Linked DNA regions of Bombyx mori. The main gene of each other region encodes a partner of the protein of the gene in region 2 in a complex. Links are inferred from orthologs where the notes say so. Each region holds a gene or a part of one and is shown on either strand. Other genes may lie near its edges. The genes, in order: cyclin-C, mediator of RNA polymerase II transcription subunit 18 and mediator of RNA polymerase II transcription subunit 31.

Evidence for each region.
Region 1: mediator of RNA polymerase II transcription subunit 18 (region 2) and cyclin-C share a complex: the UniProt entries of both Caenorhabditis elegans proteins name them as parts of the mediator complex. The link is inferred for Bombyx mori from reciprocal best matches to the Caenorhabditis elegans genes mdt-18 and cic-1.
Region 3: mediator of RNA polymerase II transcription subunit 18 (region 2) and mediator of RNA polymerase II transcription subunit 31 share a complex: the UniProt entries of both Caenorhabditis elegans proteins name them as parts of the mediator complex. The link is inferred for Bombyx mori from reciprocal best matches to the Caenorhabditis elegans genes mdt-18 and mdt-31.

What each region holds. Positions count from the first base shown.
Region 1 is NC_085121.1:11,201,139-11,211,970, reverse strand, and holds cyclin-C, read right to left. Parts: upstream 5,258-10,832; 5' UTR 3,970-5,257; coding exon 3,379-3,969; intron 3,298-3,378; coding exon 3,205-3,297; intron 3,099-3,204; coding exon 2,976-3,098; 3' UTR 1,826-2,975; downstream 1-1,825. UniProt on the Caenorhabditis elegans protein: Component of the Mediator complex, a coactivator involved in regulated gene transcription of nearly all RNA polymerase II-dependent genes.
Region 2 is NC_085121.1:5,593,152-5,603,971, forward strand, and holds mediator of RNA polymerase II transcription subunit 18, read right to left. Parts: upstream 6,372-10,820; 5' UTR 6,053-6,371; coding exon 5,960-6,052; intron 5,521-5,959; coding exon 5,386-5,520; intron 5,101-5,385; coding exon 4,896-5,100; intron 4,626-4,895; coding exon 4,513-4,625; intron 2,350-4,512; coding exon 2,224-2,349; 3' UTR 1,842-2,223; downstream 1-1,841. Other genes in the region: uncharacterized protein LOC101737360, read left to right, coding at 1,205-1,323, 1,688-1,827; exosome complex component RRP4, read left to right, coding at 7,343-7,467, 7,541-7,778, 7,860-7,994, 8,589-8,774, 8,979-9,194. UniProt on the Caenorhabditis elegans protein: Component of the Mediator complex, a coactivator involved in the regulated transcription of nearly all RNA polymerase II-dependent genes.
Region 3 is NC_085122.1:5,742,722-5,753,365, forward strand, and holds the start of mediator of RNA polymerase II transcription subunit 31, read right to left. Parts: upstream 6,572-10,644; 5' UTR 6,261-6,571; coding exon 6,245-6,260; intron 6,169-6,244; coding exon 6,079-6,168; intron 5,697-6,078; coding exon 5,527-5,696; intron 4,523-5,526; coding exon 4,376-4,522; 3' UTR 4,351-4,375; exon of another isoform or gene 2,445-4,350; intron 2,444-2,444; exon of another isoform or gene 2,411-2,443; intron 2,336-2,410; exon of another isoform or gene 2,088-2,335; intron 2,037-2,087; exon of another isoform or gene 1,960-2,036; coding exon of another isoform or gene 1,829-1,959; intron 654-1,828; coding exon of another isoform or gene 562-653; intron 1-561. Other genes in the region: pickpocket protein 28, read left to right, coding at 562-653, 1,829-1,959. UniProt on the Caenorhabditis elegans protein: Component of the Mediator complex, a coactivator involved in the regulated transcription of nearly all RNA polymerase II-dependent genes.

The DNA.
Region 1 (10,832 bases), about 5.6 Mb from region 2:
GATGACGAGATAAATAAAATCAAAAGGATTCTTTCTGACCCTTCATCGGCGGAGGTAGCGGACATACACAAAAACTACAGACTGAAGAATGTCCATGTTTACCGCGTGGTAGGTGACGAAATAAAATGGCTGGTACCCAAAAGTGTACGCTGGCAAATTTTAAAAATGAACCACGATGACGTTGGCCATTGTGGTTTTGAAAGAACCCTACAGCGCATCCGAGGCCATTATTGGTTCGCGAAAATGCGGCGTCTCGTCCGGAAGTATGTTACCTCCTGCCTTGAGTGCGCGTACCACAAAGCTCCAGGTGATAAACGAGAAGGAGAACTCCACCCAATCGAAAAGATAAAGGTACGAGTTTCACCAGTAAGGCGTTTCAAGATTTTACGACCTCTTACGGGATCAAACATATTGTAAATGCCGTTGCAACGCCTCGAGCAAACGGGCAAGTAGAAAGGTTTAATAGAACGATTTTAGATGCTCTATCGACAGCCAATCACGGCGGCGACGACAAGTCGTGGGACAACCACATCACTGATATACAGGTTGGTATGAACACAGCTCGACATAAAACTACCCAAAAGAGCCCCTCTGAGCTACTATTTGGATTTAACATAATTAATAGAACGGAAAGCATACTTAGTACGGTAATCAATGACACCCTAAATAGGACTCCCATTGAGGAATTGGCGGAAGTCAGACAACAGGCTAGTAAAAAAAAAAAAAAACAGCAACAAGTTAAAGATGCAGTCAATTTTAATAAGCATAGGAAACCAGCGAGGCAGTACCAAGAAGGGGATTTAGTACGCTTAGCAAGGCAGGCTCCGCACGATGGAAAATCTCAAAAGCTCTCTGTTAAGTACCAAGGCCCTTATCGTATACTAAAGGTTCTTCCCAATGATAGGTTCGTGGTAGAAGATATACCAATGACTCGCAAAAAAGGTAGAAGGTATGAAGCAGTTGTATCTATTGATAAGATTCAGCCTTGGATGTCGTTCTGTAGAGAATTAGAATCTGATGAATCTAGTTATAGTGTTGATGACAGTGATTACATACTTGATTACTCAGTTTATGTTTGACATTTAGTTACTTAAGAAAGAAATTGTTATTTTAATTATTATTTTGATAGAACTTAAAACCATGGAAACGATTTAGCGATAGATATGTGTATGTACTTAGTATTTATAGCAAAAAAAATGTTTAAAAAAAATGTTACACGTCATATATAAACCTAGTGTATAATTAATTGCATTTATTATTATTATTTTTTTTGTAACATATATATTTTGTTTTTTTTTCTTGATCTCAAAGCGAAGGGTCTCGCTTTAGGTAGGATGGCCGAGCTGTAAGGTTTATGATTATTTATATTAATATGATTATATAGAGTGTAAGGTTTCTGATTATTTATATGATTATATAGAGTCCTGTACATATTAAGAATTATTATTAAATATGAGGTTTATATTGCAAACCATTAAAATATTGTTAAGTTATAAATTCAACAGTTGACAAATGTCGTCAATAGATGTCACAGGCTAACAAAATTACATCGCGGTAGCGTTGTGTGTAAAAATTTGTATAAGAAGTCCAAAGTAATTATGAATAAATCAAGAACCAAACGCATCAATGTAAAATTGGCAGATTAAAGCAAAGTGTGAACAAAGTTAGCCTGTTTAATTTATATGTCTGACACCCAAAAGGATGCAGAAAGAGAAAAATGAAACTATATAACGTAATTCTTCATTCCAGAATTAATCAGACGAATATTATTTATAATAAAAAGTGAGTTAAAGATTTATTCTGAGGTAAATAACAACAATTACAGTATTGAAAAATAAGAATTTATTACATTAATATCTCCTAAAAAGACAGTACCAACAGTCTTAATTTTTAAAGATGCATTCCTATTATTTATTTTACATAATTAATCATGCTTACAAGAATAGCACAATTTTTAGTATAATAAACAATAATAGTTAAAATTGGTAAAAATATTTTTTATTTTATCATAATATTTCATTAATTGTTAATGGAACTTTATGGTTATTGTTAGAATTCCACAGGTGTCTATTATTATAGTACCACCAACGTACCATCAGTAACAAGAAATCAATGTTTTTCAAACCATTAACTACTCCCCAGTGTTATGTCAAATGTCATATATCTGCAGGTAATAGTGGAGCATGACCCCTAGTTTATATATAAATATTAATATTTATTTGTTTGTTCGTATTTTATGTGCCCGCGTCTATTGAATTCAGCCACTGCATAAAGTGCTCAATGTACAATTTCACCAATCATACTTTGACTATACATGACATAATTATTCCCTGAATTGCTAATAAGTTTTAACCTGAAATGTGTAACCAATAGTAATTTATACATATATATCTATTTAAAGGATCCACCTCATTTTCAATGTTCAAAATTGTTAATGTTGACAAATGTTGTAAAATGTGAACAAATGCAACACAGTTAATGAATGAAGTATCAATGCTCAAAAACATGCAGACAGATAAGACTAAATTCATTAGAATTGCCTTTTTTCTTTAGCTTTTGTCATCTTACTTATCTTTGTCAGTTTACTTATATGAACAATGTTATTGGGCAGCATAGCAATACAATGACATTATTTAAACATTAAACTTGAAATAAAGGAATAATTTACTTTTGTGTCTAAAGGCTACAATAGGATACAATAGTCTTAAATCACATAACAACCAATAAAGAGAGTATCTTTGGCTTGTGATGGAAAATTAAATAACTTAGTTCTTGTTCTTTTAATTTATGCTCTAAAGTGTGCTCTACACTGTATTTGTTTATGGTTGAAAAAATTCATAAAAATCACTTGAAATATAAGTGACCTCATCAAAAATAGTAATTTCTTTTCCTAGGGAATTAAAAACAAATTTTTCATGTCTACAATTAAAAATTATATATCCATTATACAAATCCATACTACAAAATATGTCTTGCTATCTCTGGGGAGCTGGCTTTGGTTTGGGCATCTTGGACAATAGCCCTTGTATTTCTTTTTTTTCATCATAACTTTTCCACATCTCATAAAGGTTAATGATAGCTCTCACAATTTCTTGGATCTGTAAATTTGAATTTTTAAATGAGTAGTTTCAGAAGTTTTGTAATACAACCACACAATAACCATATTTTTTTTAATTTTAATATATATTCAAGTATATTTCTCACTTTATCCATGTCAACATTTAGCTCAGCAAACCAAGGTTTGAGATTGTCTTTACCAAGCATCACACATGCTATTTGTAAGGCACCAATTGCAATCTGTAATTCAAAATATAATGGCAATGAAAAGTTTTATGAATAAAAAATGAAATGTGACTATTTGCATTACATAAATCATACCTGATAGGGTGGGTACAACAAACTAACATCTGTTCTCAAGGAATCGTTTACTATTCTCCAAGCGTATGTCAGAAGTTGATCATCTTGTCCTATGTCTTGGACAAAAAGTAGTAATGGTCTATATGGTTGGTATACAATTAAACAACAATCTAAATTTTCTAGTAAATAAAATTCACACTCCAGAATGTGATTTGTCCTGTACGGGAACTCTTGTTGTCCATAAGCATAACTAAACTTATTTTTTATAACTGTCTGGCAGGTTGTTATTAATCTGGAATTGGATATAACACCAAATTCTTCAACTTTAGATGCAAGAAATACGCATGTTGGTGCCAAAAGAAGTGGATCAATACACTTCAAAGAGTTCCTTGCATAAAATCTTTTAAAGTAAACTGTTGCAGTTGCGATTACTTGCTGACGAAGTTTAAGTTGTTCGCCTAAAACTTGAATTATACTAGCAAAAAAATTAAATACTTTTTGGTATTCTTCTTCTGATAAAATATTCAAATCAAACTGGCGATCGCGCCTTAGCTCTTGCTTATCGAGTATCCATTGTTGATGATGTGAGCTTTGCCAAAAATTTCCAGCCATTTCTTCAAAGGCAAAACACAATAATTATTAAAATTTGGTAAATTTTGATTTATCAAAAAAACATACTTTTTTTACAAATTTAACATTTTTCCATCCATTCCTATTCTATGAAACTTTTGAAACTGTGTATTTTAGTAATATGTATGCATAACCAGGGGGGTGCAACTCCCATACAAAGGAAAAGAACATTCAACTAGCGTCATCTTTAGGAACCGGCGAGGTCATTTTTGAAACGTTTTGGCCTTAATGATCTAATAAACTCACTAGATGGCAGGTACGAGTTCTGACTCAATAAAAAAGGTTAGCGTACTTTGAAGCAGTGCTTCCACTTTTAGGGAATTCTCCCTTTTTTAGGGAAAAATAGCTGATATTTTGGATGATAAAGACAATTTAAAAAATACCAGGATTTAGGATAGTTCGGGGTAAAAAGCAAAGCCTATACTAGTAACTGTTGTGAATTTTAAAATAAACGATAATTAAAGTAAAACAATGAACATTTTATTTTATGGAGAGAGAATGACATTAAGTCGAGTTGACAAGTAAAAGAATAAAACAGAGTTGTGTATAAAAACTATAAAGAAGGTTTGATTCAACAGTAACCCTCTAGTAAAGTAAATTATAGATTAAGCCACTGCTTTTTTCTTAGGGATTCCCCAGAATCCCAATAAGTATAATCCGCCAAACTTTTATTTACCTATTTTCGTTGATGTCACCAGAACTTACTTGTATTGTAATATACAGGTACTTCATGTACCATGAAAGATTATCATGGTAATTTCATTTACGAAAACCTTGTAATTGTCATTTCACTTTTGCTAGCAGTTCCTTCTTCAAAGACTGAGGTGGAAAGATAATTCAGTGTTCTCAAATGTAAAAACTGACAAAAGAAACAGGCTTTCTAATGAAACCCTGAACGGCTTGCTTCATAGAAAGTTCCCAACTTTGCCAGCAAACAATTGCTCAATTTTAGAACCGAACAGTGTTAGGTTGCGTGCAGCAAAAGAATATAAAAGCAATGCGTCGACTTCCTTGAAAATTCTAATCCTATATATCTATGATCTTCTGGGGGCGTTTATATTATATATACCTACATTAAATAATATGCTGTGGTTTATTTTCTGTATTTTATTTATACTTTCTATATAAAGGATTTATGAAAGTTGTCTAGGAAATTTTAGGGATAAATTCAAAAGAAACTAGGGTAAAATGTGTTTAAAAAAACGTAAGTGGAAACACTGCTTTGAAGTTTTCAAAATTCCAGGGCCGTAAAACAATCTCAAAAAAAAAAAAAAACGTTTTCAAAATGTCGTAACGATTTAATTTTTTAAATCGTTTTTTTTTTGTCTTGGTGTGAGTTATTTTACGTTGTAGTATTAATTTAGAGCATCTTTTAGCTTTATGAGAATATTAGACGATTAGACATTGAGAAACTCTGTTTTGAATTCTCTTTAGACATAACTTGGTTCCAATACTTTTTTCTTCGTTAGCGTTTCGTAAGCCTGTGTAACTATTTTCGTTTCTTACAGAAAGTTTATTATTAAAAATCAGCATGCCTCGAAGATCGAAAATGAAATGCTATTTCGGATGCCTTGATAACGGTGAGTTTACACTATTTTCCCGGTATATTATTTGCTAACAGAATTATTATTCATAATATAATTAAATGAATTAGCACCAACTAATGGTCCTTCCTATTTCTGCTGCCTAGCTATCATATATGTTAAGTTTGATCAAAACAGTCGGTGTTAAGTCTCGTACTATCACACACACACCTCAGATAATAAAATTGTCTCGAGTGGGTGGAAGTATTTATGTTTTGCAACTCAGCGTATTATATGCTTATTGTCAAGTGGGCCCGAACTAGTTTTTTGGAATGGAATAAACAGGAAAGCATGACTGATTGATAGTCATGCTTTCCTGTTTAAATAAAATACAGCACAATTGATCTCACATCCAAAGTTAAATGATGGCATTCACATTTTGTTTCCTGGTGTTTGATAACCAAGTTACACCAAGTGGCCTGTGACCACGTTCATCCTTCTACCCAATATAAAATAATGTTTTTATTTTTGTAGACAAAGGTTTGATAATGACAAAATTTTATGGAAAAATTATAAGGAGCACTAAAATGTCTGAAACATGAAAAGATTGATGCACTATATTTGAACCAGAACGTGTTATGTAATATATTAATTTGTAAGTATGATTACATTAACACTAAATTTTTCATGGTCGTATTTTTTCAATATTTGTTACATACTTAAGATACTTTGTTTCTCCGTTTCAGAAGAGAAACTGATTCAGCAAGGAATGTGAACTCACAAGGGATCTTAATTTTTTTTAAATATGTTTATAATTTATAAATTAATAATTGAAATAGTTCATAAGAACTAAATTGATGCCAATTTTGTTTTAAAATAGGTTGTTTAGTTCTTATAGTTATACTATTACGTTTTGAATAGTTGTAATTAGTAAGTTAGTAATATATGAAAATACTGATATAAATTTTTGTAAATGAGCTTTTGTAAATTCTACGAGAAGATGATTTTAATTAATGATCAAAAGTCAACGATCTTCAAAAGCATTATTTGCAATTATTTAGATTAACTGTGGAATATATTTGCTAAGTTGTGTTTTCTGTATGAGCAGATATAAATGAAAATGCCCAAACATGATTATGTTTCTTACATTTTCATTATGTGAAATCAATATGCTTGTGACTGAGTATATTAATAATTTATTAAAACTTAAGTGATAGACAGCAACCCCTATGGCACTGCTGAAGTTTATAAGCACTGGTGACCACTTATCATGAGCCGGGTTGTGTGCTCGTCTGCTGTTGAGTGCAATAAAAATTTTCGAGACCCTTTCTATTATTTAGATGTAATATTAATGTACATTTAATTTGGATTAAAAGATAAATTTACATTTTATGTTTGCATGTGTATGTTTATAATTCATTTGCATGTAACGAACATCAGTTTCTTTTGTAACAAAATGCAAACTAATGGTTTGTAATGAATGTAATTAACTTTAAGATGATTTTCTTTCAATCTGCTGTTTGTTTCATCTAGTATTACCAAAGCTAAAGCATCAGAAACGTCAGAATAGAAATAATTTAGATAAAGAATAAAAGTATAACTATTGTAATCATGTCTAAGATTACTATAAGTGTCATTAAGTACAAACTATCAATATTTAAGAGTACTTTAAATCATCATTACATTTTTTAAACATTTTTTGTTTTTTTTTTGTTTTTCAAATCATGTAACAAAACGTTTGTGCAGAACAAAATGTCACATGTTATGAACATGATTGTGGGTTAATCGTTTCTTAAATTTCTAAATGTTTATAAGAATGCTAAGAATAATTTAGTATTCACTTTAGTGTGTGTATTATCTCTACAATGCTAGTTTAAATGACAATTATTGTATGACGAAGCATAGGTAGTATTTATAGATGTAATATTTTCATACAAGGTCATGATCTGTCACGATCAACTTTAAGCAAGAACTGCTATCATTAAGAAACAAATTTATTAAATTTAATTCAAATTGTCTACTATGTTTATAATGGAAAGCTGACATGTTTATATTTCGCACAAATGACTTAATTGACATTGAATGATTTGATTATCTAGACTTAATTAACTTTTAGATAACTTTCGATTTAATGTTAATAAGTACGCTAGTAGGATTAATCTAGAGGAGTTATTGTTATTCGAAGTTTTGTACGTTCATACAATCTTTTAACCGAAAATTGTTTGTAATATAGGGAAATTAAATAGCTTACAGAGAATTACAGCTTTTTATTTTAAAAAACTGTTTTCTCTCTGTATGAAAAGATCTTATCGATTAGAATGCTGAACACAATCGAACATTCCTTAATATCTCATAAGTACTACCGGGAATTCTAGCGATTCTAAACGATAAGATTTTTTCATAAAGAGAGTTGGTAAAAATATTAAAATTACTAAAAAAGCCACCTGGTGGGGGGTAGGGAGACTAATAATCGACCGTAGCGACGCCTGCTGGACCGGGCTTTAACTAAAGCAAAAATAAAAATGAGAGTTGCGCATCTATCTCTAATATATTAAGTGTATAATCTATGTGCATAACTGATAAATTCAAGTAATTATTAAAAACACTGTACATGTTTTGACAATTTTGACACTGTTCATGCTTTTTTTACGATTTTATTTCCCGGTTTTCATACAGAAGTGACAAGAGGCTCACTGAATTTGGCCCCCTTTTTTTTGATTTTCGGATTTTTTTTATTTTTAATTATTTGTTCGTCGTTTGTTCGTTAATATTCGAATGTAAAAATTGTGTGTTCGTCTTTTATTTATTTATAATTAATTAAACCAATGATCACCCTTAAGTTGCAATTTTATACGCGGGAGGAAATGTCCTACTTTTCTCCCTTGGTGCACAATGTACTTTAATGTCAAATTTGATTCGACTGAGTACTTCGAATATTTTGTATGGGTTAACCATAGGTAATTTTTTCTTCAAAAAATTCAAGGCATGTAATAACATGGCTGTGTCTATGGTATATTAATTGATATATAAAATTTTATATCAATTATTTATCAGTACTTTTAATCTAGACTAATGTTACTACTATGCTCAATTAATAAAATATTTAATATTGATTAATTATAAAACTGTTGTTTATTTTTAAACTTTTTAATAATAAAAGAAATACATTAAAATGTTATTATTATTTAAATAATATTTATTTTTGTTGATCGTTTGAATAATGATAATAATAATTCTATTTCAAAATTAAAATAAATATATTTAAATCCTAAATTGTTATTAAAAATTGACAAATAAAATTATTATTAATATTATTTAAATTTTAAATAAAAGAAATAAAAATTTATGTACACGTATATTTCATTTAAATATTGGCGCTTACTTGACGTACTATAGCGCCACATTACGATCATAAGGAACACAGCTTACACAGCGCCGTAACTTGGCTACTTCAGTAAAAAAAAATCTGGCTACCCTGTTCATGGTCCGGGCATATACAGTGTGCTTCTTTAAAATACGCACATATCAAAATGAGGGAATCTATGCTTAATTTTATCGAGCAAAAAATATTTAAAAATGCTAAAAAAAAAATTTTTATTTTTTGTTTTTTCTTAAATTTTTGTTCACTACTGTGACTCCGGTGTAAACAAAACGCTGTAACTTTTGAACTAAATGATCTATCGCGGTCAAACAAATTCCATAATGATTCGAAGTATTTAAGCGTCCTCATGAAATGAAAAAGTAGGAGAAAATCTCCCCTCCATTGAAAATAAACACGTTTTTTTAGCATAAATCTGTTATTTTTTCATAAATTTTTACAACAATCCCAAAATTTCTCAAACAGACGGGCCCTTTACCTACTTTTTTATTACTTAAAGTTATTTTACATCGTATCAGCTACCCATTAGTAAAAATTTCATGTTTATACTCAAATATAACATTTTCTATTAAGTGTTAAAAGATGGCAATCCGAATGTGCTATTTATTGTTTTCCTAAGGATGGTTTATTTGGTATGATAGTTAGTACAAAAGAGTTCAATTAAAACCATTTATTATTTTACACAAAATTTAATGCATGTGATTCTCAAAATGTCCATCAAAGAGGTGGTTGTAGGCACAAAGCCGCGCGAATTAAAATTTGTTGTGTCGCTCTCCTCATTATTTCAAGATTATTGCGAATATCATTCCCACAATTATTATAAGTCATGCAAATCTGCCTTATTGTTGATAGGGGTACTGTAGATATGTTGCTTCATGGTCCCCCAAGGAAGTAATCATGGGGCGTCAAATCGGGTGAACGCGCAGGCGCAGGCAGATAGAATCAGCGACTGTATCTTTGAAGTGTTAGGGGATCTATGAAACCGTAAGTTCATGAATCAATAAACTTAGAAATCTTTCACCGATCAAAGTTCTCGGCAATATAACTGGTCCAATCAACTTGTCATCGAGAAGACCAGCCCAAACATTTACTTGAAAAGTCAATGAACGTTTTAATTTCGGGTTTTCACCTGCATGGCACTATTTGTGTAAATTTCGACAGTTAGTAATACCGTCTCTGGTGAATGTAGCTTCATCCATCCATAGTATAGTTTTTAAAAAATTTGGGTTTTAGTTGGATCCAAGTGGACATCACAGACCTTGGCCAGCAGTCTACGTCTTCATGTAGATGTTATAGTGATGGGAGGTGATTTCATCAATCAATTCAGCAATCCTTCTTTCTTTGAAATGAGCCACGCTGATTTTTGGGATATTCCGTAACGAAAGCCAATCTTCTAGTACTTGTGGATGAATCAGCAAACAAATCACTAATTACTGCTTTTTCAAAAGTCACATCAATAACTACTTGAGGCGGCTCGCGACGTTCTCTACTTGATCCAAGTTCAGTGATCGACAACCTTCTGTGAACTTCCTGGAGGTTGCGGGCAGATGGCACACTTAATAGAAAATGTTATGTTTGAGTTATAAGCATGATTTTTTTACTAATGGGTAGCTAATACGATATAGAATAACTTTAAGTGATAAAAAAGTAGGTAAAGGGGGCGTCTTTTTGGGAAATTTTAGGATTGTTGTAAAAATTTATGAAAAATAACAGATTTATGCTAAAAAAAACGTGTTTATTTTCAATTGAGGGGAGGTTTTCTCTCACTTTTTGATTTCATGAGGACGCCTAAATACTTCCAATCATTATGAAATTTTTTACCCGCGATAGATCATTTAGTTCAAAAGTTAGACCGTTTTGTTTACACCGGAGTCACAGTAGTGAACAAATATTTTAAAAAATCCATAAAAAAATAAAAAACAAGAATTTTGCATATTTTAAAT
Region 2 (10,820 bases):
TTGGCTCTGCCCCTAGCATTGCTGACGTACATGAGCAACGATAACCACTTACCATCAGGTAGGCCGTATGCTAGTCTACCTACAAAGGTAATAAAAAAAATGATTTATGTACATGTTACTCCTTTCAGTCTTACACCAATGTCACCCGTTCCTTAAATAAATAATTTCTATTATTTCTACGAACTAAATACAAAAAACACGTAAAAACATTATACCATTGAGCATTGAGAAACCAAACTATAAGTCTCAAGTGTTTGAGTCATGACTACCTTCATGCTTTGAGCTGAAATTAGAAAATTGTTTCCAGTACATAGTATGGGTTTGAGTTATCAATGAATTCGTAACAAGAATGTATGAAGGGTAGAAGTAAGGAGAACCGTCTCTGTGTGTAAAAAGTTTCCGTTAAAATCTGCTAAATAAGGGTGGCGCTACAGTAGCAACCGGGTAAATTTAAAAAAAATGTGCTGAGAGTTATTAGAATAAGATAGAGAAATAAAAAGGACGAAAGCAATGTAAGCACTACAAAATAACAAAAAGTATTTTATTTAAAGCTGATAAGAAAATGCAAACGATGTCTCCACGTTTTACCACAGCAATAATTTTAGGTTATACTGACGAAATTAGTTTGGACTACGTAGACATGTGAGGTCTTGTATATTAGTGTCACTAACTACTCTAGTCATTAAATATATTAAATTTCCTAACTCAACATAGTTCAATCAGTTAACAACTGCTCAGTTCATATCATACCCTGTGCCTATGCTAGCGCCATTCTGGAGGATATTTGAACTGTTATTGAGTGCTGAAAGTGGGACACTTTTGCAAGCTTCTCCCATATGAGACGGTTCTCCTTACCTCTACTCTCCATAAAAAATGACATTGGACTCCTACATAGAGTAAATAAAAATATAGAATAAAGTATTTGATTCAATAAGGCCATTCATTAAGACATTTGAGGACAAACAAAGGTTACAGACATATTTGATTAAAATAGGAACTTAAATATTATTTTTTAAGTTTTAAACTTGATTTTCTGTCATCAGCTAGCCTATTCTTGTATATATATTTTTTAATTAAAGAGAAAAAAGGTCAACGACCATTGCATGTCTCATGTCTTCCTATTAAGTGATCATAACAAAGGAAAACTGTTTGAATTATCGATAAACTTTACACTTAAATCGCTTTCGTTGTGTCCTTGTTTCAGATGTGGTATTTGCCCTACGTACTTCCAAAAAATATGTGCATTTGACGCAAGCACCAATAATACATTTATATTCGACAATCACTGCGTTATGGATTTGTACAATTGTTTACAAGGAACAGGTATAGAAACACTTGAACATATTTTGCTCCTTGAAAATTTTTCCCTGTAAAATTTTACGAATATTCAAATTTTACTGCAGAAACATAACTGTCAAGTATACTGCACTGTGGAAATGTTTTTTCTAGCATCAGGCATAGTTTCGAAATTATTGAGATCGATTAATGTTCTATAGTTATGTTGTAGATCGCCTGTAGGTTCAAGTTACCCAACTGTCTACGATACTAAGCTTTGGTACCTAATTTATTATTTACTTACTGGTAAATTAACTTGTGAATACGGTATACAGGAAACATTGGTTGAAAAGGTTGACGTTACGTATAGCAGTGAAATGGCCTTATGCAATTACTTTTTTTTGCTTTCCAGAATTTGTTACTTTACATTATGATAAATGTCTTTATTTCGGCAACTTTGCGTACGTTCACGGCTACAAATATGAAGATTTAGACTACGGCGAAGACCATATCATTGTGAAAGACACGGTCAAGAATCCCGATTTCGTTTAATAATTAAACAAGAATTATCCTGTTTTGATCATGTTTTAATTCATTCTTGCATGTTGACCTATTAGTATTTATTGACAGATATAAAAATAGAAATTAAACATTTTAGACTATTGAGGAGTAAATGCTATTCTTAGAAATAGAAATTGAAAGTAATCGGTGCATATTATATTTTAGTTACGAGATTACGAATACAAAGTTTTGTAAAATGTAGCGTATATTAATTGAAAATGGATGCCGTAGTTTTCTCTTGGAATAATCTTAAATTTGTTTGAAATGAGTATTGTATTTATATACATTTATCAATCGAATATTGTCGTAGAAAATTTGTCTATTTTTCTTCATTTCACCAGACTGTTGCTCAAATTGTTAAAGTAAGTTCTGAGTTAGGAACATGGGCTATGAAACCGACATGTGCCCGAGTCTCTTGTAGTCGATTTTGTCGAGCTGCACTAGAGGCCTGAGTTGGTCGGCGAAGGCTCGCATATCCTCGCCGATAGCGTCCTGGCCTTGTGGTGCAAGAACCTGAATAAGAAAATGAAACTATCAGCAGTTCACTACACCCTTTTCCTTTATACTACTAAATAGGCTCAGCACAGTAAAACATTATATGTCAACTGTCTTTGGGAATAATAGTAGGTGTAATGTAATTCGTGATTGTGTGGCGGGTCATACAACGCAAGATAATTGACAGATGCCTGAATCTCGCTTACGACATTTTCAAGATAAAGCGCATATGTACAAGTTCCGAATAACAACATTCGGACCGTCGGTCTACCGAGCAAATATCACCCGCTCGGTGGAAGATCTTCCCTCCGTCGTTATAAGCTTCCCAAACTGGTGACCTCCGACGTGATGTGAACACGCAACCTTCTGATTCATCATCGGCGCATCAAGAACTTCGGCTACCACAATCCCCGCATTCTCGCAGATAAAAGCAAGTCATCGACAGTCGTCCCACAGCAAGCCAGCATCGCAGCCTCAACAGGACCATCGCAGCCGACTAACCGCGCTTCTTGGCCCTACGGCACGCACCTACACTGCCTCATCGCGCAGCATTCAAGCTCAGTCTCGACTCACCGCAGACTTCGAGCAGCACTGGCGACAATCACGCAGCATTCAAGCTCAGTTTCGACTCACCGCAAACTTCGAGCAGCACTGGCACTTGCAAGCTAATCTCAGCACGGACAACGATATCTAAAAATGACACGACCTCCAGTCTCGGAGGGGAGTGATGTGGCGGGTAGCCATCATACAACGCAAGATAATTGACAGATGCCTGAATCTCGCTTACGACATTTTCAAGATAAAGCGCATATGTACAAGTTCCGAATAACAACATTCGGACCGTCGGTCTACCGAGCAATATCATCCGCTCGGTGGAAGATCTTCCCTTTGTCGTTTAAGCATCCCCAAAATTGTTTAAGTAGCAGAGTTTATATAACATTTTGGGCGCACAATCCTTATAGGACTCAGGACTCACTATCAGCAAATAAAAGTTAGTCTATCATCTTATTCTTATATATTATAGGTACACAGAAAATGATACTAAAATAAGACTTGTAAAAGAATGTCCAATGGTGAGTTTAATGTATTAATTAGTCTTTTGTTCTAACAAACCTAAGGGAACCAAAGATATTAAAGAAGGGTAAAAGTCTTCAACAACTGAAATACACTACACATCACATAACATACATGAAATAAAATAAATCCACATTGCTCTACAAACATCAACTACATACATTAATTATATAAAATCTACTTAATACGTACAAATAAGAAGAAAAAAAAACAATTGAAGCTTATTATTGAGCCTTACTTATTCATGGAAACCTGTAGGTTAGGTTACTTATGTTTTTATAGCTTGAAAAAACCAAGCTGTTTACATCAAAACCAAGCCAGCAAATTAAAAATCTCTTCCTTATTTTTAGTTTATTTACAGTAGATTGGGGAGAATAGAGACTAGAGTTAGAATAGGGACAAATCTGGGATGTCACAATACTCTTGTTGGGTTGTTAGATATAACTTTGTTGCACTGAAGATGACTATTATTTAGTGTTTAAGAATATTATATAGTTTAATTCAGATATCAAAACTTTGTATCTCATTAAAGATATAAAAAATTAATTACCTAAAGTTAGGTACCTACCTAAGAACTAAATAGTGCCAGCCTTATCGAAAAACTCTGTTGTCCCCATACATAGCGTATTTTTTTTATTGCCCTTGTAGGCAGACGAGCATACGGCCCACCTGATGCTGAGTGGTTATCGTCGCCCATGGACTTCAGCAATGCCAGGGGCAGAGCCAAGCCGCTGCCTACCGTTGTATACTCTCCACAAGCCTCGTTTGAAGAAGGACAAGTCAATGAGAGAAATAGCCTCATTCAAAGAGAATCGGGTCAAGCAAGTTTTTTAAGGTTTTGTGTATATTTTGTGACTATATGAACTATATAAAATAATGAATCGTATTTAAAAATTTAAACCTTCGGAGCCATTTTAATCTCAATTTTATTGGTATTACCCTAAGAATAAAAGCATTGAAAATTTGTTTTGGAATTGGAAAGGGTCCCCATTTTCCCCAATCTACGGTACTTAAAGATCATATATAATCATCATACTCAAGCAAAACCAGAAAGCGGTATTGTTTGGGAAATTTGACAAATTATTTAATTGGGTGTCAAAAACTTACAGAAAGCTCCACAAGATAGCTCTGTGAGATAGGTTCAGGTGGCATTGAATTTTGAGAAATCTTAAACACTTTTGCTACAGTAATTTTCATACGACCTTTTCTAAACATGTAACCTGAAATTTAGAATTAGAAAAAGCTTAATGTTTTTTATAAAATTACCGTAATTGATTGATTTTAAATGAACCACTGAAAATTATATGCAATTTAATTAAATCCCAAATCTAGGTAATACTTTAAATTGAATTAGTATTTTTGACTATTGGTCTTCTTTGATTCGTCATTATTAACAATAGTGGTATAGTAATAGTGATGATTTAGAATATACTATCAAATACATGTACAATCATATTACTCATAATTGTCATTATAATAAATATTATTACCTTTTACACTGTATTCAAATTCAATTCGGCATCCTAGCTCATTTAAAAATTCAATGAGCATTCCACTGCAGGCTATATCAAGACTGGAACGGACAACTGTTGGCCTATTTTTGTCCCCCAAATCAGGCTGCCCAATGTATCGTAACTGAAATGGCATGTCTCGAGCATCTAATGCTTTACGAACACGCAACATGAGAGGGGGAGCCTGAAATTTAAATTTATTAAAGATGAACTATTAGAACATGAAAGAAAAATATATAGATTCAGGCATGTCTTTATGCTCACGAATTGTACAGTATTAATAGTGATTACCAAATCATTAGCACTTTTCTTGACCAAACAGGTGACAGCCCAGGCAAAATTTAATCAATTTATAATTTAATACAAGTTTTATTGTATTATAATTTTATAACCATTTTATATTCTAGTGTCCTAAAATAATAATAACATTAACAGAAATATTTTAAAAAGTTCTAAGTATTATTATTACCTGATGATGATTAGGATCCCGTAGACTGAAACACACTTCCTGGTCATCAAATGTTTCTGGCCCAGCATCAACATTGTCACAAAGACCACGTAATCGGTGAAGTAAAACTTCTACTGCCGAGTCCAACACTGAGCCCTTAATCAAATTTTAGTGGAATCAAAAATTAAATGTATAATATTCAACAATTAACAAACTTGACTGAATCTTGAGAAAAGTTGCTGCCTGTTGCCTAATTATCATAATTTCCAGCTATGAAATACTGTAAAATTGAAAATCATTAAATGAATTATTTTTATTTATTAAGAACAGCATTGTAGGCATTGTAACTAAGACCTTATCTCATGTTTTTTTGGGCTGCTATTATATGTAAGCTATGTATGTATGGGTTCTGATAATATTTTGAATGTAGTATGTAAACAGATCAAATGGGTCAAAAGAATTGGATACAATAGCTGCAACTATGGTAATTAGTTCTGTTAAGTATGCAATTTATGGAAACTGTAGAAGAATGTAGACTATATTGTAATTATTCTGAAATTTAAAATAGCTGAGCCACTTCAACATCCTGTAGTACCTGAAGTAAGTATTCCTGATTTGGTATAATGTTCGCTTTTAAAGCTTGCGATAAGCTATCTGTAGCTGTTATAGGTGCAGCGTTTGCCGACATTTTATGGAGCTGAAAATCTGAAAACCTACTTCAATAGCAGCTATTTAAAGATTTAAGTTTTGAAGAACTATGTGTGAGCCAAGAAATCATTACACTTATAAACGACTTTTCTGTCTCATAGAGGTGCATTCAGTCTAAATAGTCCATATAACCGAAACTATAAATATTGCGTAAAATAAAAAACTAGGCAATTTTAAAGGAGAAAATAAATTCTAATTTCTAATTAACATAATCTAAATACTCATATTGGAATTTAACAAGGTAGAGATATGTTTGCAATCGCTGTTAGCTTGACAGTTACTAACAATGTTGACATTTAGCCTCATTTAGGTGACATTTTGTAATTTCCTTTTTCAAATACAGGAGAGAGAGGCAATGGTATCGCATCATATTATCATATTGGTACGGCCGTATTTGTTTTTAAACATTTTTTGTCACCAATGATTCTACATGCGAGGAGTGAAATTGTGTGATTTGTTTTATTTTGTCTATTTAGTGTGTCTTCAGGTTTAAACCTGTAATAACGGTTGTTTATTAACTGTTCAATATCTATGAAAGTGCACCAATGTGGGAAAATGAAACCAAGCCGCTGGACGTAACTTCTCGGGATCGTCCAAAAAGGCCAAAATCTCAGTAAATAACCGTCATTTTAGTGAGATTGTATTTCATCCCTTATCATCTGTTCAGTTCTCGTTCAATCACATGAATGAACAATGAGTGTGAAGAGTTAATCATTAATTTCAAACTATAAAAGAATATTATTTATATTTTACAATAAAATTGTATTAAAGTGCTCCAATATATGTTACTAGTAGTATGTAACTACAATTACTTTTTTTTATTTTCATTACATACCTATAATTGTTATATTTTATACATCTATAATTTCAACTATATGATGTATTGGAAATAGGACAGTCTTACAAGCTTCCTCGCAATGTTTTTCTTAATGTTTAAAACACTCGGTATTCAGTGCAGGTAGATACTATAGGAACATAATATTTCGTCGAAAACTCATTGGTTGTACAAAGCACGCCTAAAATTCGAACCCCGTACCCGATATCGGCAATTCGGCACACTAACTATTCACTAGACAATCGAGGCAATTTCATTAATTCAGGAGTTTTTTCAATCGTTCACTTTGTCACAACACTATTTTTATTTCATCAAAACCTGACAACACAGTAAACGTCAGTTGACTTCGTCTAATAAAAAATCCGACTATAGGTCTATGAGTTCGTTGTACACAATTCACAATTAGCAAAGAGGGAGCTTAAAAAAACATTAGAAATGGTCAGTCATGTATCTATAAAACTCGCATCTGAAAGAGTAAATCATTCGGTTGCCTCAAATAATGACCCGCCGCGTTTTTACACTCCTGGCGAAGTCATAACTGGGATACAAGATTTTATGAGGTCGGTATTTTTTGCGAAAACAATATTGTTAAGAATTATTATTACTATAAATTTAATAATTTTGCACTTTAAGAGGCCACGGAACTTACGCAGAAGATGATTGCCTAAAAGCATCTGTTGCTGGGGTTATGCAAAAAGTAAATAAACTTATATGCATTCGCCCATTGAAGAGTCGTTACGTTGGAGAAATAGGCGATGTGGTAGTCGGAAGAGTATTGGAAGTTCAACAGAAAAGATGGAAAGTTGATACCAATTCACGACTTGATTCAATACTTCAACTTTCTTCAGTAAATCTACCTGGCGGAGAATTGGTAAATTAACGCACACTTCCATAATATAAAGCAATCTTCTTGTATCTAATGATAACTATTTATATATTTTTTTAAATCCAGAGAAGGCGTTCAGAAGAGGATGAGCAGATGATGAGAAAACATTTACAGGAAGGTGATTTGATAAGCGCTGAAGTACAGAATGTATTTTCTGATGGTTCGCTCTCATTGCATACAAGAAGTTTGAAATATGGCAAGGTAATCAGATTTTATGAAGCCAATAAAAAATGACTATTCTAAAGTTCAACAAGAATGTTATAAGGAAATTAAAAATATTCAAATATGTAGCAACATTAAATTTTGAAATCCTCCAAAGTGAAGATGATATTTATCCTTCTGAGTAGATTAAACATGCTTCATTAGCAAATTGATTACAAGTCTACACAAACACTTAAATCTGCTTTAATTCACTACCTATATGTTTAAATAAATAAAATCAAGGGGCGTAAGGCTATTTGTTTTAAGTGACACTTCGCTTACTACATGGCATCTATCTGTGTAATTAAAGGTAAATTTTATTTGGTATTAGTTTATACAATTAATTGTTTTTAATTGAACACCAATTAAGTATTCTCCATTGAAATAGCTGGAGAAGTTTTGTCATGTTTTTTTTTCAATTTTTAAATTACATGACTTTCCTCTAAACCAAATAGCCCTTCATACCTTAAAATAGAATCATTCATACAGTCCTCTAATAATAATTAATATCACAAAATGTTGAACTTTCTACTCCTTGCTAATACTAAAAAAAAATTAATTTAAGAGTTTGTTCGAAAACTTTATTTTTTGCAGCTTTCACAGGGAACTTTAATAAAAGTATTCCCGTCATTGATAAAGCGCAGAAAAAATCATTTTCACAACTTACCATGTGCAGTATCTGTCATAATAGGGAATAATGGATATATATGGATTAGTCCACACAAAAGTGATATTCTTATGGAAGGAAATAAGGATGCAATTGAAAATTATGAAATTCAGGTGGGTTAATGCTATCAGTGTGCAGTGTTCGGGAATAGGAGTTAAGAAAGATAAACGATAAACACAAGTTAAAGATTTATTATATCATTTTCACTAAACTTTGTGTTTTTCCATGTTTTAAGAAAATAGAACTCATGCATGTTCTCATGCCCTCATGAAATTGTTGCATATGCTAATATGATGCTGATATCATTTTTATTGCAGCCTGTTGGGAAATCAGAAAGAGAAACGATGGCGCGAGTGAAAAATTGTATTTTGGCACTTGTGGCATCTAAGATGATGTTAGATGATACTAGCATAATGTTTGCATTCGAAGAAAGTCTCAAATACGACAATGTAAAGGAACTCTTGGATCCTGAAGCTATGCTTGACGTAGCATTTTTAACTCAGCATAGAATAAATATTATTGCAGAAGAGTGACTTTATTGTGTTTTAATTATAGCTAGAAAATATTAATAATAAAGGAAATACAGCTTTTTCAATACCACAAAGTTTTCTGTAAATTGCAATTCACTATGGATAGGGCGAACTGATCGTTCTATGTAAATCTGTGTACAATTGCGCTTACGTTTTGTATGGATGGTTGAGTTTCGAAATCGTCGTGGCCTAAAGGATAAGACGTTCGGTGCATTCGTATCTAGCGATGCAACGATGTTGGAATCCCGCAGGCGGGTACCAATTTTTGTAATGAAATACGTACTTAACAAATATTCACGATTGACTTCCACGGTGAAGGAATAATATCATGTAATAAAAATGAAACCCGCAAAATTATAATTTGCGTAATTACTGGTGGTAAGACCTCTTGTGAGTCCGCATGGGTAGGTACCACCACCCTGCCTGTTTCTGCCGTGAAGCAGTAATGCGCTCCGGTTTGAAGGGTGGGGCAGTCGTAACCATACTGAGACCTTAGAACTTATATGTTAAGGTAGGTGGCGGCGTTTAAGTTGTAGATGTCTATGGGGTCCAGTAACCACTTAACACCAGGTGGGCTAAGAGCTCGTCTACCCATCTAAGCAATAAAAAAAAAGTTAAATTAATACAGTTCATATAGACATCAAATCAATCGCATCGAAGTTTATAAGGTCTAGTTTATGTAGGAATATGCCAGCATATATACCAGCTTTATGTACAAATGGTTTTAACTAAACTCGATTATACCTGTCTGTTATGCATGCACGCCTAAAACCATCATGCAACACCTAGCGTGTATGACCTCTATAATGGAGTTATGTTCGCGCGCAAACAACCAAGCGGCATAAAATATCAATTTTGATATTTGCTCGGTAGTATGTACATGCACCGATAACTGCACAGTTTAATCACATACACGCTAAGGCTTGCCTGTCGGTTATGCATGCACAGCTAAAGCCATCATGCAAAACCTAGCTGTAAACAGTATAGTTGTACCTACATGTACATTTGTTTATCATCAAGACATCATATTAGCGTCCTTTGTTTATAAACGGTCGCTATTCTATGTTGCGGATAAATTGTAATAATTTACTTCTTAAGCTTACGACTAACTGATGCTTCATACGAAAACTGATCTTCATGGAAAATTCAACCTTCCGAATAATCTAAGTGTTTTTGGAAAATGTCCGCTATATTTACTTATTATGAGTTGTGAAAGCAGTCTGCTCGAACGTCTCAATCCAAGCTTGGATTAACTTGAATACTAATTAAAGTAATGTAGAAGGCTAACTGTAGTTTTCCCTCATGACTAAAATTGCACGAAGCCTCATATACACTCGCGAGCAAAAGTTTGGAATCACTTACTTGGAATTGATTCCGCGCGATCTTGTGTACTAAATATCTTTTTGATAATCATAAAAATGAAATCATTTTAAAGGTTGAACTCTTAACTTTAAACTGATACCAAATTCATTCAAATCGAGCCAGTAGTTAAGGAGTTATTCCGGATTAAGTGAAGAAGGTAGGAAACAAAGGAAATATGGAAAAATAATGAATGCATAAAACAACAAAAATTAATAAATAAAAATTTTATTTAGCCTTAAAATTAAATGTCAGTACTTTGTGTTCCCT
Region 3 (10,644 bases), on a different chromosome or scaffold from region 2:
AAGTAGGACATTTCCTCCCGCGTGTAAAATTGCATTGGTTGCAAACACGCGGGATGAGATGTCCTACTTTTTTCCCGCGATGCACATACTATTTTTTCTCCTACCAGGCGGAAAGTTCGTGGAGTACCGAGCCGGGGTCCAGGGGCGAAGCCCCGGTGGGGTCCAGGGGCGAAGCCCTGGCAGGGGGTAGGGGGAATACTCATAAAAAAACAATTTAACTGTTTTTTTTAATAAACTACTACTAATTGAATAAGAACTGTCTGATGAACTCATCTTTGTTTAATACTTCACTATTAAATTTTATTGCCTTTTGTTTATTTCACTTTTACACTAAACACAGTATTGAAAACTACCCGAGCACAACAATGGCGGAGAATTTTAGGTGCGTGAGAGCAGCCGTAGTAGACACTAACGCGCATGCGCACTTGTCAGTACCCAGGGAGGAAAAGTTACACTTTCTTCCCTGTACACCGGGAGGGAAACCGAACTTTCGGCGTAGGTAGGAGAAAAAAAATATTTCAATTATTCCATCTTAAAACAAAACTTATTTTACGATTTCAGTGAAAACATGCTGGTAGTGCACTTTTTCTTTGAAGACAACACCTTCTTGAGGTTCACAAAGGGTGAAATATTTGGACTAACAGAATTTTTATGTAAGAAACAATTCCCTTCCCAAAACATCACCTAAGAATAAAATTCACATTCATGATTCTCTAAATAACCTAATACTTTTATAAGATCCGTGGATTAAATTACAGAATAGAAAAAAATTTGGCATGTCCTTATCAAATGACAAAAATTCTAGTTGTGTCTAGAATATCGATTACTTTTTAATTCACTACCCCGTCCTAATAAATACTAATAGTTAGTAGCACACTTAATATTTAGAACAAATACATATGACAGTATACACTATGCACAATATTTTGTTATAATTAGTGTGTAGATCCAAGTTTGCAGTCGTCAAAAAAGACTAACTATATCGAGGGGTGAAAAGTTGTTTGGTTTAGACCAGTGATTCTCAACCACCGTTCCGCGGCACTTTTGTGTGCCGCCAAATTTCAAAAGTGTGCCGCCAAATTTTGCGAATATATAATAATGTTAATATTATTAAATTATATCATTTTAAAAGAAAAATATATTAAACATGAATATAATATATATTTAAATCCACAAAAAAAATTTATAGTATATTGTAGTTTATTTCGTATATTAAAATTTTTTGATAAACTATTTATGCCGTGTGTTGTAGTAAGTAAATAATTTATATCTTTTTTTTTGTGTGCCGCCAAATTTTGAAATCGTTAAATATGTGCCGCAACAAAAAAAAAGGTTGAGAATCACTGGTTTAGACTAAAGGTGCGTTTTATTTGTTATGACATGTCCTTCTACAAACGAAGCTTGTGAAGAGTATTAAGCGGCAGACAGCGGCTTGGCTCTGCCCCTGGCATTACTGAAGTCCATGGGCGACGCTAACCACTCACCATCAGGTGGGCCGTATGGTCGTCTGCCTACAAGGGCAATAAAAAATATAAAAATATTAGTATCAACAATTCGATGTTTTTAATTGAATTTGAATTTTGTTTACCCCATTCAAATAGATGCAAAAGATTTTTGTGATATATTTGTACCAAAAATTCAAAACAGATTTTCACAGATCTGCAAAAATGCAAAAAGTAGCCTTACACCCCTCAATATCATAAACTTAAATCTGAACTGTATAAATTATAAATATGTTGATTTAAAGTATTCAATAAAATAGAACTCAACTCAACAATAGCTTTAAGTTAAGTTGATACAACGTATTTGCTTCAAATAATGCTTTCAGCGAACACGGGTGGCCTTCTAGGATTGTGTATGGGCTTCAGTATTATGAGTGCCGTAGAACTCATATACTACCTCACTCTCCGAGCGCTGTGCATGGCAAGACGACGTCCAAAGCATCCTTTCACTAATTAAAATTATTTCTTATGTTTAATTTTTATGTGTCACGAAAATTATTTTAGAAATATATGGATGTGCATTGTGTCGATAAACTAATGATTTTATTCATTCCTATGTCTATGCTAAAAAAAACTCGACAGACAAAATTTTATAATTACTCGTATTTTCAAAATATCCTTGTTGATGCAAAAGATACAAATGATAAAGCCCTATTGTTTATGTATATAATTATAATTCCTTGCCATATAGTCGACTCTTCTATCTACAATCTGTATGTGGATAAATGATAATCTATCACTTCTTGAGGCAAAAATAGCCGTCTGGCCGTCAGAAGATTAGCGGCGTGTTGCGAAGCTTGCCACCGACACCTGAAGTGATGACCACGACCACTCTGTCAAGAGTGATAACGACAAAGAAGAAAAAAGGCCGTTTACCTTATAACATTACATGCAATAAAAAATAATAATATATTTCGAATTAATATAATTAAAAAACCGATCTGAAAAATACATAAATTTATTTCGTCTTTTCTTAACCTCAAAACTTAAACTACATAATTCAGTCTAGCTAGGCACACATTTAACTGCATATCTATCTGTATAGTAATCGGCAAACTTCTTGAGCAAATGACCTTGACTGCGCAGAACCGAATTTTAGATCACTTTGGTGGTGAGGGTGAGGCGCGACGGCAGGGGAAATCGTATCGAGCGCGTTATTGGTAGATCAGTCGAACCTTGCGTCCCGCACCGCGCCCTCATTCCGCTTGCTCCCAAAAGTACGCTTGCGTACAGTGGAAAGTCTATCGTTATTAATCGTTAAGTTATTTGTTATAATTGCTTGTGGACTTTGTTGCCATTGCTATTTGTTGAGTGTTTGTTGATTTTTTATAAAACATACACTATGCCGTGACAAACTGGTGTAGTACTTAAGTACAAATTTTCTACCCTTTCTTATAAAAGAAAGGGTAGAAAATTTGTGTACGACGTATATTGCTTCATTATAAAACAGGGGAAGAATGATATGGAAAAATTAAAACAGACTTCGGAAGCAACAAAAACATCAGTGAGTACTGTTAGGTGCATTATTAACGAAGCTAAAGGCTCTGGCTTGCTCGCCGTGTTGCGGACTCCGGGTAAGAAAAGATCAGGGAAGAAGAAAGTTACCGGAATGGATAGTTTCGTTCAATGTGTAATAAAAAGATGTAATCATAATAACTACATAACAAGCAGCGAAACTCCGTACCGTCGAAAGGCTTCGAAACATTTAAAGAAGATTTAAATTTTAATGGCTCGGAATGAAGCTTACGACGAATTATGAAAGAGCTAGGCTTCAGATGGAAAAAAAGAACAGAAAATAATCGGAAGCTGGTAAATGAAAAAAGTAACATTCGATTACTACGAATCGAATATCTTCAAAAAATAATTAATTATAGACAAAAAAGAAGACCGAATCGACCGAGTTGTAAACTACGCCGATGAGCCCTATGTCGACTCATCACGATGATAGCGACTCGGGTGATGAAAACAGTGATGATGATGATGGTCAAGATTATGATAACGGAAAAAAAATTACAAATACCAGCTTCGCTTCAACTGAACCAAGACCTGGCAACAGCTCTAGTTTTGACTTAATAGAAGGAATATCTATTTTACCCCAAGATTAAATTATTACAATTATTAACCTATATGTTTTGTTAATGTTCTAATAAATATATAAATAAATACATATGTTCATTTTAATAATTTAATAGCATTATGACGCAGAGTAAGTAATGTTTTTGCACGTGAGTGTACCATGCGCAAACTTACCCCCACTACGTCAACAAATGCTCAAGAAGTTTGCCGGTTATTATACAAAGGATTTGTTTATGTTCAATCAAATAAAATTCGTTTTGAAAAACGTTCAGTGCCCATTTCAAGTAATTAAATATATTTTTTATGAGTAAGACTACGTATATTTTACTACTACACAGAACAAATATTTTAATATCAGCCAAATTATTTTTATAACATAACAAAGAGGTTTCATTAACACCCATTTAGATAATTTAGAGGGAGATCTTTGTCCCCCGGTGGGACATCCTACTAGAGGACATGCCCAATATTTTTTTAACATTATTATACACTACTATCTGTACCCGTCCGCTTCACTGGGCATTTAAAATTAACATTATTATTTCTCACCCCCACAAAGATTCACATCATTAACGCCCCCGCAACTGGTGTAGGGAGTCCAACACTCATATAATTAGCCTATCCATTATGTACATGTATTTTCTACATGGATAACAAGTTCAAGTCAATCGGATGCATGGTTCAGTAGTTATAACGGAACATCCATAAAAACCACTGTAGATTTATTTATTAAGTATAGATTTATAAAAAGTTTATTTTATTTTCCACTCACTTCTAAAACAACAATCATGAACATCCTAAGTTTGTTGTCTTGGTGGACCTTGTTGTGGCGGTGCGGGCGGCGCAGGAAGCGCCGGTGCGTCCGGCGGTTGTAACGTGCGTGTACGCCGACGAGTATAATGTTGCCATAGCAATATTGCTTGATCGTCCATGAATTTGCAAACCTTAAGGAAAATATTAATCATTCATTAATGAAGATATTTTGAACAGTACCTATCCATCAGAGTGATCTAAACACAGGCTTTATTTAAAAATTGTAATACATACAAATTATACTGCTATCGGATAAAATTAAAAGCGGTATTTGGTCAAGGGCCAGTTTGGCACAGTCATAAATTTTATATTTGGTAGAGTACAAGAATAAAGCACAGCTACTAATGAGGTGGTAAATAAAAGCCAATAAATTATAATAATATGACTTTTGCAGTAACTTGTACGTGGTCATTAACAATTACCAAATTTATATTCTTACATTCAAACTAGCTCAATTTCATTTGCATATTTTTTTTACTGTTGATTTGTAAGTCAAGCTCTGTTTTGGTTTTAAGCCCATAAACATCATACTGTGAAACCTATAAATCATAAAACTATATCAGAAAAAAAAAAGGCCAAGTAGTGTTAAGTTGTTACCTGAGCCCATAGACATGTACAAAGTAAATGCCTAAACAAAAAAAAATACAATGGCTGCCCCACCCATCAAACCGAAACACATTACTACTTCACTGTAGAAATAGGCAGGGTAGAGGTACCTACCCCTGCGGACTCACAAGACATCCTACAACCAGTAACTACACAAATTATAATTTCGCAAGTTTGATTCTTTTACTAGATGGTGTTATTCCTTAACTGTGGAAGTCAATAGTGAACATTTGTTTAGTATGTATCTCATTATAATAATTGGAACCTGCCTGCAGGATCTGAACACCTTTGTATCGCTTGATATGAATGCGTCAGGTCAGCCTGAGCGATAAGCCTTCAGGCCACAACAAACCTTCATATAAACACTACTTCAAAAACTGGACCAAGGTGGTCACGACCCTCAGCAATGAGGAAACGACAGAGAAGAAGAAGAAGAATGTTTATCAGCGGACTTAAAACCTATGGCATTATCTACCGCTCAAGCAAAGATTATATGGAAAATAATTTAGTAGGTGCAATTTGTACTCACTTGTGCCGATACACATTCTCTTCTAAATGCTTCATGTTGTAATAACTCCAAAAAATGCAAACACATGGGATACTTCAAATATCTAGCATATTCTGGCTCTCTCCAATATTGCAAATATTTAAGATAGTTTACAAAAGTTTGTTCTTTAAGATAACCTCGCTGTGCCAAAACTGTAAATAGACAGAGTTGACATAATTGACATCCATTACACATAACATTTAAAAACACTGGGCAGAAAAACATTTAATCACAAAATAGACGATTAGAAACTAAGTCACAATAACAAAATCATTAAACCGGTATGAAAAATACCTAACAATTTATTACTTATTTCCCTCTTGTGATGATTTGATGACCAACTTGATAGCTTCAGATCAGTCATCACATTAAGTTATCATTATAAGTTTCCATAAGTGTATGTATGCAGTGAGCAGCATTAGCCTGCATAAGTTCAAGTGGCAACATTTACATTATGATGTCTATGTACTCTAGTAATCATTGTATACCAGGTGAGTGTGAAGTCTAACAACAAAAACCAAAAAGGCAACTTACAGTGAATGTAATTTGGATTTGCTAAGCACTGCACAAATTCAAGTTCCACTTGAAATCTTATTCGATTCTGCTCTTCAGTTTCTGGCATTACTGCAATTAAATTAAAGATTATTAATTTATCATGAAATAACAAACTGTTAAATAAAATTATTTCATTCTTTCTTACCTTTTCCAGCCATCATTTTGAACCCGAAATATATGCAGCTGGAGTATTTAAATTATTCAAAATTAAACAAGTTGGTCAGTGGTGTACGTCTCAACAAATCTATGACCAAAATAATAACATATTTTCAGGTTACACAAGACAGTTCATTTTATCCTTATATAAATATGTGATATTTAAGATTTTATCATTACTAAAATGTTACACAGTACTTAGTAAGCTCTTAAAATTTTTAAATTAATTAAATCACATAAATAAATTTGTGTATATATTTTTTTCCGAGTCCTACACAACGTAACACAACTACACAATACTACATAGATTATACACTTAATATACATAGATTATACACTTAATATATACGAGCAATACTACACTACACATTAAGTTAGTCTATGACTATGATCATCATCCTACTTAGGCTTAATATTTGGCCTAAAGGTACTATACCTAAACTTTTTGGCGGGAACGCGATGAGTGAAGTTGTGTGATTTGTTTTATTTTGTCTATTTAATGTTTCTTCAAGTTTAAATGGGTTCCTCCAAAAAGTCCACTGAACAAACCACAGTAAATGATCACCATTTTACTGAGATTATATTTCATCCCATATTATCTCATTCCATTTAATTTCATCCCAGTTGATTAATTTCTCAAATTAATCATCTTCATTTCATTTCACTCCATATTATAATTTTTCATAAAAATAAGAATATAAATTAAAATAAAATATAACTTAAAGGTCTTAGTTAACAGGTCATAACATCCCTTAAAAAAAATCTGGTTTAAATGTTTAATAGAGCTGGTTTATTAACTGTTTAATATCTGTAAAAGTGCACAAATGTGGGAAAATAAAATATAGCCGCTGAACATAACTTCTCGGGATCCTCCAACAAGTCCACAGAAAAAGTCTCAATAAATAACCACCATTTTACTGAAATTATATTTCATTCCATATCATCTCATCTCATTTCATTTCATGCCATGTTTCGTATTAATCAGCTTCATTTATACTTAATATCATTATTATAATATTATTATATATATCAAATAGATATAATTATTCTTAAAAAATCCTGTTTATAGAGTATAAGTATATATACTAAGTTTATTCTTCTATATTAAATGAATTTCTACTAAATGTCCCTGCAATATATTTCTTGAACTTATAAATAATTATCATTTCAACAAAAACAGATTTTGTGTGCATTATATTTACATTTTTTGAACTAAGTATGAATTTAGGAATTATTAATTTTATTATAAAATACAAGTATCTTAACTATCTCCTATTGCATGGTAATGAATAGTATCATTAAAAATAACTGAACTGAAAACCACGCTAATTGTACTTTAACGACTAATTGACCGTCTTCACTCTTCACCGACATTTTTTTGTTGAATTATTGTTGAAGTTTTCAATATTTTTTTGATCCACTTATGAAATAATTAGACAGTATAAACCATAGATTATACACTTAATATATGTATAAACCATGGAGTTAATAAGTAGTAACTCTATGGTATAAACGCAGTTCTTCTTCTTCTTCTTTATTTTTGGCTCTGGCACGTTTTGTGCATTAGCCAGCGTCAAGTAATAACGTTTTTATAATTCGCCGTTTTATTTATTTACAGTTTATAAATAATAAAAAACGAAGGAAACTTATCGCAACAAAACATAAATGATTTAGAACGAATTGAATTTACAAAAAAAATCAGAATAATTATATAACAGGGAAAATAAATCAAAATTATAGTTTAATGTTATTATTTAATATAAACCTACTTAAAATACTATATACAAGGGGATTAAAATCTCGAAGAAGTAAAGAAATATTAGTAGGAAGGGGAACAGAGAGAGATACTAAAGAAGTATATAAGGAAGAATGATCATATAAAGAACAAGAAAAGAAAATATGATTCAGGTCACAATAACTCTCGCCACACTCACAGGCGGTACTAGTTACGATACCAAGTTTGTGCAAATGAACTGGAAGGCTGTTATGTCCCAGACGCATACGAATTATAGTAGAAGTGGCGGTTTTACCAAACGACAATTTGGCAAACCATGGCTTCCTGGGAACGGAAGACTGTATAGCATACAAGAAACGACCCTTAATCCGGCCGCTCTCTTCCCAACACATATTCCACGATTTGTGGAGGCATATGCCGGGCAAAGCAGCAAGATCATGGCCAAAATTCTTGTACGGGTATACGTCACCGGTCACAGTAGCACTGTTGGCCAAACTGTCAGCTTTCACATTTCCAGATATGCCACAGTGACTAGGTACCCAACAAAATGATACTAAATAGTTGTGTGATTGGCAGTGCAACAGCTTTCTCTTACATTCAAATATTACATGAAAAAAAGGGTTAAGTTTTAGTGAAAATTTTGCTAAGCTCTGTAATGCACTTAAGGAATCAGTAAATATAACGGTTTTTTTTAGTTTGAAAGACAGCACATATTCAAGAGCTTTTAATAGTCCAAAACATTCACCGGTAAAGACCGATGATTCCGGAGGTAATTTAATTTTCTGAACTATGTTGTACTGTTTGTGATACACTCCAACACCAACACACCCACTGGAGTGTTTAGATGCATCTGTATAAATTTGATGCCAGTTAGGCCATTTACTATTGACATTGCAATTAAAATTTTCATTGGCATTAAAATCAGATTTTTCAATGCCAAGAGAAAAGCAAATCACTGGAGAAAGTAAGAGAGAATCATAAGAAGCGCCAAATAAAGGAAGCACCTGAAAAGAATGAGTTGGGGCTTGTAATTGTTTGAATTTCAGGAAACTTTTTAACAGACAAGGTAAAGGTTTATGTGAAGAGGGTACTTTTTTAGAAAGAAACTCTAGTTTCGAAATGAGGGGATGATTATGGAACTGAACAATTCTAAAAATGAATCTATCGGACAGATATTGACGTCTTAAGTTTAAAGGAGGGTCACAACATTCTATTTGCAGAGCATTAACCGGACTCGATTTCATGGCACCAGAAACAATCCTCAAAGCCCTAGACTGTATGAGATCTAGTTTTCTAAAGCCAGCCACATTACCTGGGTCTAAGAAAAAGGTCCCAAAATCCAGTACACTTCTAATGACAGCATTATACACCAACCTCAGTGTAGCCGGGTGAGCACCCCACCAAACCCCACCGAGACATCTCAGCATGTTCAAGTTTCGCTCACATTTACTAACCACAAATTCGCAGTGTGGTTGACCCGTTAGTTTAGAATCAAGAATAGCTCCTAAGAACTTAACTTGATTCCTAATGGGTAATATATCCCCATCATATGTTATATTAAGTGAGCAAGGAGTACGGGATTTGGTGAAAAGTACAACAGTACTTTTTGAGGGAGACAGATCAAGGCCATTTGCATCCATCCAGATTTTTAGCAAAGATAAAGAGGAGGAAACATATCGTTCAGCAGTACTTACAGACATATCAGAGGCATAAATAACCAAGTCATCGGCATACTGTAATAAACTTGCTGAATCTCCGACTGAACCTTCTAGATCATATGTATAAATATTGTACAATAAAGGACTCAGAACAGACCCCTGTGGCAAACCTCTCCATACCAGCCTACTAGGCTTATAAGGGCCGCCAACATCTAAAATAATTTTCCTCTCCGAAAGAAGATTTACAATGGAATTAGTTAAAAAATAGGGAACCTTTAATTTATCTAATTTACTTTTTAGAATATGTAATAGAACGTTATCATAAGCCGAATTAATATCCAAAAAAGCAGCAACTACTGACTTTTTATCTGAGAAAGCATTACGAATATCCGTAACTAATATGCCTAAATTGTCCCCCACACTTTTACCTTTTCGAAATCCAAACTGAGTTTGGGACAGATATTCGTTATTTTCTATATACCATTCAAGCCGATTTTTAATTAAATGTTCAACAACTTTTGTGATCACCGATGACAAAACTATCGGACGATATGATTTGATATCAGATTGTACCTTAGACGGCTTTAAAAATGGCAATACTATTTGACTTCGCCATGACGGTGGAATGTCACCTGTCAGTAAAATTTTATTTATTAAATTTAAAAAGTAATTTAATCCTTTTTCGCCAAGGTGAGACAAAAAGGAATATGGAATCCCATCTTCCCCTGGAGCACTGTCTTTGACGTGATTTAATACACCTTTTAACTCCCCTAACGTAAAAGTTAGATTTAGAGAAGAAGGGGCATCAGAGTTATATTGCTTATAAGACAGGATAGGATCGTTGAGTGGAGCAGAAGGAGGAGCCAAACGATCAAGGAATTGATCTGCTAATTCTATAGGCAGCAACAATGCGTTAGAAGGATTGACAGCTGATCTAAATCTTTTGATATTTCGCCATATGACAGTAGCATGTGTTTCAGGTGATATAGTGCTACA